2 linked regions of the Coturnix japonica genome follow. The protein of the gene in region 2 interacts with the protein of the main gene of each other region in a pairwise test. Links are inferred from orthologs where the notes say so. Each region holds a gene or a part of one and is shown on either strand. Other genes may lie near its edges.

Region 1 (3,818 bases), on a different chromosome or scaffold from region 2:
CTTGCATTCCATCACTGTATCCAATCATTAGCAGTAACGGTGGTTCATTCCCAGTGCTGTGTATTTCATGAAACTCCATATTCCTTGATGTATCTAAATTGGGTTTGAAGAGCAAAGCCATTGGTTAACAGGTTGGGACCAGCCATGGTTATCACCAGCTATACTACATAGCGTTTCCCCAGTGAATGTTTTTGCTCTTGTAATTAAAGGCAAAGCGATGTGGATCACATTTTTTATGTTGAAACAACATTGAGATGCATTCTTTTAGGCAAGCATAATAGATTTATTAAAATTTCACAGAGAGGTTACAAACGATGGAGAAAAACATCCTTCATTAAACAAGAGCTATCACAAAATACACCTAGAACTTCCATAACTCGCTGCTGTGATTAATATAATGCAGCAAACTTTTAAAAGGGAGAAAAGACCAATAAAATTAACTAACACATTCTACTGCTACAAACATACGGACTGATCAAAGCTCTTCCTAAATACCGTACAACTAATCTTTGCATCAACCTCCTGAAAAGAAGGAAATCCACAGGAAGAAAAGTGCCTCAGAACATAATAACAAGAAAATTGAGCCTTTCTTGACTATGGCCCTGCAGAACTCTACTTCCATGGATGGATGAAAGATCCCTGCAAATATGTAAGCATCAAAGAAAGAGAGGAAAAACATTCAGGATGTTGAAATAAGATAAGTTCAGGTCCAAACACATTACGTTGCATAAAGGTAAGTGTAGACAAAATACAGGATTGTGAAAAATATTGTAAAGCATTTTCAATTTGCTGTAGAAAGGGCCCGAAAGAGGGAATGGCCAAGAACTTTTAAAAATAAACAGAAGAGGACAAGGAGCTCACAAAGAAACAAATTCTGACAGCCTAAAGCTGGACATAATACCCTGCATGAGATTATAGGACTTTTCTTGTTCTAAGAACCATGAATTTATGAACTGCCAGCCTCCGTGCCATTTCAACAGCTGGAAAACATAACAATCTTCCCTATTAACCTCAAGGAGGGTCTGAAAATTCCCCATCAAGGCTCTGGCTATAGCTACTACTTCATATAAGACCAGAATAAGCCTTTATCACAGTGCTATAGACAGGAAAAGAAGATGGCAGACAACAGCAGTTCTCTGGAAAAGCCAACTCTTGCACTCTCCAGAAAAGCCTGATCAGGAATGCAGATCTCTTAGTTCCCCAGTTACAGCAGCCACTTGTACTTTACACTGCAAGCAACTGCAAAGTGGTTAGTCCATTCGGGCAAGATACTCAACAGCAGCATTCAACCACTTCCCACTCAGTCAGTAATCTTCCTCGTTCAGAAAACGTAATTGGGATGGGTTGAGGTGAAATACATGTCATCTGGATATGTACTTTACTTGACGCTCTTAGCAAAAGCCTGTGGCCATTACCATTGTTTCTTGATGCCCAAGAGCAGTTGCCAGTCAGCAGCTCTAGCTGACAACTTACTGAGACACACTACAAGCAGTAAGTTACATTGCAAGAATATGTTGTGACATTGCTTCCATTTACCTGAAGGAAATCATAGAATCTCCTGATCTTTCTCCCTAACCATTCACCCTTCCTAGGTTGCTATGAATTATACATATCAATGGACATACACACAGGTCTTGGACTGGATCTGCAGTTAGATAATCTGGCTTTAAAACCAAACAGTGGTCAAAATAAATTCAGTTCTCTGCTTTGTCTTCAACTATCATAAGGAAAAGAATAGGATCTTTTATTATTTGCCTTTCTTCCTAAGCAAGAGCTAGTTTGCCTTTAGATGCAGTAGCAGGGCCTATCTGTTCCATTTGGAAGGTACTGAACAAAAGTATTTACATACTGAGAGAGAAATGCAACCGTACCATTCAAATCCGCATTCTCAAATCTGACCCATATGATCTTCTCCTTTTCTTCTGCTGGAGGAGTACCACTGTAGGCCTGGGCAAAAAGCAAAAGGCTCAAAATAAGAAAATGTAACACCCATTTTTTCCTCCCTGTATAGAACACAGAAGAGACTATGAAGTTAATAAATAAACAGGTATACCTGTACCTTACAGTCACAGCCAGTATTACTGTGACATTTTGCTTCTAAGAGGAATGAGTCCATGATCAACACGCAGCATGCTGGGTGTAACTCAAAGTTCTAACATCACTCACTGAAGCAGACACACACAGCAATAAACCCTGTGCAGCAGGTCAGAAATGCTACAGGACCCACAGCCATTTAGTCAGGCTAAAATAGAGTGACTTCTGCCATGTTTAACTTCTAGCAGTGGCACACTGCTTCTAAGAGCAACATCAGGGGTTCTCACAAGAAGCATTTTTATTCTTAAAACTTATTTTATTCATTTAAATGCTTTGTAAGCAAAAATGAAGAAAGAAACACTTTTACTACAGTTTATTTTACTGACACGTTGTAATTACATGCGTGACATCTTTAATACAGCCATTTTAAAAGAATAAGCTGTAATTCCAGTAAAACAAATCTGCGTTTCAGTTCTGCGTTCTACAAATTCCCATAAGATGAGATGCAAAAAGAAACTCTGAAGGAGACTTGCAGTGTTTCCAACCTGTGTGCTTTACAGTTCTCAGGAGAAAGTGTGGTATTAAGAATGTGAGCTACAGTAGAAATACCATCACTTCCAAATGAATTAGGGCAAAATGCAGTGCAATATATTGGAATAAATATGAAAAGAGACCATATAATCACTTTATACATGCCAGAAAAGCAATAACACAAGCTAAAAATGCAGATTTAAAAAGTAAGTGTGGGTATTACTTCTCCAAACAGATCACATTCCATGTTTCCAAGGCAAACTGATTTGTACAATAAAACACAGACTGTACCCTTTAACTACAGAGAGAAAAGCAAAGGCAGGAAGGGGGGGATAGGGAACGTAGCAATCTTTTAAATGAAAGTTTGACTAATTTAATTTTGACCATGAGTCCAAAAATGCATTTCACAAGCCAATACCAGCAAGGGGATTTCTTCTTATTATTATTATTACCATTAAAAAAATTCATGACTTCAGTTATCCAAGATGGTTCTTATTTGAATGACTAAGAGAGTTTCCTGAGGCTATGGGCAATTAGCTGCAACACTTCACTACTGACTGCAGCCTTCCAACACTGCTTTCCCTCTGCTATTGAGAGGCCCAGGAGCAATACAGAAATGACCATTTCATGCTGCTGCTACCTGTGAAAACTACAAAACCAGAAGCACTGTATTTCTCCACAGAAGGAACAAAAAGGGACAAAAGAAGACAAAAAGGGAAAGGAAGAAAGCAGAAGGCAGACTTCTGCTTCGCTACTGAAAAGACAGCTTTTAAGACATGCACATACCTGTGGCACAACGTCTTGAAGAAAAGTAACAACACTTTCCATATATGACTGCTCCCTTGAAAACAGAAGGAGAATTTTTCACTACTACTGGAGTCCATTAGTGGTTAGGGATATATTAAATAAGGCGTTGACAGAGAAAACAAACACGACAACACAGAAAATTACTAAGGATGCAGTGTAGTTACTCAATAGGCTGTCACACACTGACAACATATACACAAAGTGACCTAAAAGTATGTTAAATGTGAATTGATACCTATTCATGAAACAGCTGCTCAGGAAAAGGCGTAAAACATAACAGAGGAAACCATGTACTCCACGTTAGAATAATCAGAGCAAAAAAGGCTTTTGGAAATCACTTCTCAGTGTTTTTCTACTTGAACTGGATCTTATGCCATATAAGAGTGCTTACAGCAAGGGCTGGAGCTTCCCTTGTGGGGCCTGTAAACTTTATGACCTCAGGTACA
Region 2 (3,818 bases):
GCAGGGCCTGCTAGTAAAAATTGTTACAAACATCTCAACATTTCTTCTTAAAAAGACAATGCATTGTTAAAGTCACTGAAAAAGTCTCATTTTCAGTCAGTCTTTCCTTAATTTCTAAGGTCTGCCAACCTCTGAAAGCACATACAAGGACAAGTTATGCATCAGCCTCTATCATTCTTGCTGCTGATTCCACAGCAAATTAAAGCTGAACTGAATTTGAAGTGAAGTCTCAGGCTGTAGCATCAACGTGCATCCATTCTTGTCAACTGGGATTGCAGAGAACAGCCCTCAATGATGTCTCCCAGGCCAGGAGAACGTGACTGAGTTTTGTTTTGCTTCCAATCGTTTAAAATAAGGTTATTTTTGAAAACACCTACAACTGCACTGCAAAGAGCCTAAGGGTGTTCTTTGTGTCACCAATACCTGCAGTGAGTAGGCGAAGCCGTAAACCTGAGGGTCCAGTCCCGTCTCTCAGCACATCGACGTTCTCAGCATACACATTGCCAAGGAAACAGCTGAGTGGCATCAAGGGAGCCCTGAAACAACCACACAAACACATACATGGGACACAGTCTTCCAATGTACCATTACCAAGTTGATGGCAGTTCGCTGGAACAGAGCATGTTAATTTAGACGAAGCAGCATTGAGCTCAGACTGAAGATGAAAAGTTAAATTTCACATCAGGATTAGAAATCCTGGAGAAAAAGAAAAGGAATAACAAGGTAAGATTCAAACAAAGGACCCTTACTATTAATGAAACCAACAGCAAGTTTCAAAAACTCTAGAAATTACTACATCTAGCTTCCAAATAGCTCCTATGAAGATGTGCCATTTCAGACTTTGTGCAGCAAAATAGAGGTTGTATGATCTTTAAAGGTACTTACTACGTGAACTAGCTACATCACCTAAGTGCAGCAGAAGCATTTTAAACGTGTGCCCTCACTGCCCCTGGTAACCCGTAGTCATAGAAACACAGAATCATAGAACAGCCTGTGTTGAAAAGGCCCACAATGCTCATCCAGTTCCAACCTCTAGCTATGTGCAGGGTCGCCATCCACCAGACCAGGCTGCCCAGAGCCACATCCAGCCTGGCCTCAAATGCCTGCAGGGATGGGGCATCCACAGCCTCCTTGGGCAACCTGTTCCAGTGCGTCACCACCCTCTGGGTGAAAAACTTCCTCTTAATATCCAAGCTTAACCTCCCCTGTCTCAGTTTAAGACCATTCCCCCTTGTTCTATCACTGTCCACCCTTGTGAACAGCCATTCCTCCTCCTGTTTATATGCTCCTTTCAAGTACTGGAAGGTCACAATGAGGTCTCTCCAGAGCCTTCTCCAAGCTAAACAATCCCAGTTCCCTCAACCTTTCCTCATAGGAGAGCTGCTCCAGCCCTCTGAAATCTTAGTGGCCTCCTCTGGACCTGCTCCAAGAGCTCCACGTCCTTCCTGTACTGGGGGCCCCAGGCCTGGATGCAGCACTGCAGATGGAGCTGAGTAGAGGGGACAATCAACTCCCACTCCCTGCTGGTCACCCCTTTTCTAATGCAGCCCAGAACACAGTTGGCCTTTTGGGCTGCAAGTGCACAATGCTGGCTCATATCTGGCTTCTCATCCTCCATGATGTCCAGAACGTAAAAGCAGCTTGTGTAGATAAACCACACACAATCACTTTACTTTCCTGGGACAGGTCTCGTTTTAATTCAATTTCAATAATATTTGAGAAAACTATCCCAGGAACCAGCAAGATACTTTCAATCAAACAGCTGCTTTATTTGTGTTTGATGGGGCTTTCTCCCAGTGGCTGAAGCTGCAGGGCAGGTGCTAAGCTGGCAAACATGTGCAGCACAGCCCTGTATCAGTGCATGCTCTCACTGTAGCACAGCATGGCGTGGATGGACCCAGACAACATTTCTCTAAAGTGCATATTTCTAATTAAGAGACAGTGTTCATGTAAACAAGGTTTCCTCCTTCCTTAGCAGCAAGCTACTGATGCATTAACCTTCTCTTGCCATTAAATTGCAATCATCTAGTTTTAACTTGAGTAGCAAACTCCAGGAACAGAGTTTCTAGAAGAAGCAAAACATCAAATGCTGTACAAAAAATTACTGCGTAGAAGAGGGCAGAACACAATGCCACAGAAAACACTAACTATGCTCAAACACAACTATTCCATCAGTTACCTCATGGGAGCAGTAAACTGAGACAGGGAATTGAAGACATATAGGCTATATGGTAGATTACACATATAGCTTAAGTTTTAAAATAATTTATTTTTATATTGCAAGAGAGTGTAAGACTCTTGGCAGGGTTCTGCCATGATGTAAATGGCACCAACATACTATGAACTGACTGACGGCCTACCACAAGGAGTTGCATTTGTCTAGAAAAAGGTTGTGAGTAGACAAAAAACAGAGTATAAGCAGCATGTAAGAATAATCAGGCTTTCACTACCTTTCCTCCTTCATCTGATGAATTAATCTGAATTAGCCTACAATAGATAGACCAAGCTGATTTCATAGTAACAAGAATCACACCAGCACCTGATAACAAGGCTGGACGGTACTGGTATGCCTATGGTGACTGGAAAGAGGTTTATATATGTAAAGGCATTCTGCATACCTAATTCCTAGAAGACTGAAATAAAAAACTGAGCATATATAATCACATTTAGCATTTGCAAAACCCTACATAAATGAGGAGGAAATAGCGCAAATAGTAAATAATCAAAACTGTGCAACCAGCCATACGCACTTGGTATCCTGCAGGCTATTTCCATTGTAGATGTACATACGTTTCACAGTCGCACCATGTGGAATTTGCAGAGAAGCCAGACCATGCGCGAAGTTAGGCTGAGGAGAGAGAATCACCCTTGTTAACCTTACACAGTAGAAACTCTTCAGGTCAAATATTACATTAGAAATACAGTACATACTTACCAACCCAGGTGAGTCTAACACGTGGAGGCAAAAAGTAAAAATATCCACCCTTGTACATGGTGTGAGTTTACATTACACTACTCAGGGATTCCAAAGTTGGGATGAAATACTCACTACACCGATCCACCAAAAGATGGCACTAGTTTGTCAATTAGCCATGTGTGCAGCGTGTGCAATAAGAATTCAAGTATTCTTGGTTTTACCACCACGAACTAGAAATTTAAGAACATTTGAACTTATAGCCTATTTCTGAGAACTTAAATACAACCTATTTAAAGGCTGAAATTCTTTTTTCTCTTCTACTGCATTAATTTAATCCTTTTAACACTGATGCTGGTTTGCAAAATGCCTTTACCTGGTAAACACTCACTCATTGCATAGATCTTCTGCTCTACTTATCATCACATTCTTACACTTTCAGACCTTTGGTACAAAAACTGAACTTCTTAGGAACTCAGCCATTTAATTTACAGATGCATTTGCAACTCGTACAAGAAAAGGTACTTTCTTGGGATATTCTATTTGGATTATGATTAGCTTTCAGCTTTTCTCCTTCGGATAAGGATGGAGGGGAATGCCAAGAAGGCTACTGTCCTGGTTATAGGCCACCCAACCAGGATGAAGAGGCAGATTCTACAAGCAGCCAGCAGAAGTCACACAACTGCTCATATTTGTTCTTGCTGGGCATTTGAATTTACAGATGTCTGCTTGAAATATAGTAGAGCAGAGAGAAACGGTCTAGGAAGCTCTTAGGGTGTGTGGAAGGCAGCTTCCTGACACAGCTGGTAAGAGCCTGCCACAGGAGGTGCCCCACTACACCTGCTGTTTACAAAGAAGGACTGGTGTGATGGTCAGAAGCCACTTTGGGCGTAGTGACCATGAA

The links.
Region 1: the proteins of C11H16orf70 (region 2) and BCAS3 interact in binary tests that used the Homo sapiens proteins (3 or more experiments, as listed by UniProt). The link is inferred for Coturnix japonica from reciprocal best matches to the Homo sapiens genes PHAF1 and BCAS3.

Annotation. Positions count from the first base shown.
Region 1 is NC_029534.1:6,694,321-6,698,138, forward strand, and holds part of BCAS3 (breast carcinoma-amplified sequence 3), read right to left. Parts: intron 3,407-3,818; coding exon 3,352-3,406; intron 1,948-3,351; coding exon 1,872-1,947; intron 94-1,871; coding exon 1-93. UniProt on the Homo sapiens protein: Plays a role in angiogenesis. Participates in the regulation of cell polarity and directional endothelial cell migration by mediating both the activation and recruitment of CDC42 and the reorganization of the actin cytoskeleton at the cell leading edge.
Region 2 is NC_029526.1:282,768-286,585, forward strand, and holds part of C11H16orf70 (UPF0183 protein C16orf70 homolog), read right to left. Parts: intron 2,849-3,818; coding exon 2,751-2,848; intron 537-2,750; coding exon 424-536; intron 1-423. UniProt on the Homo sapiens protein: Plays a regulatory role in autophagic activity. In complex with BCAS3, associates with the autophagosome formation site during both non-selective and selective autophagy.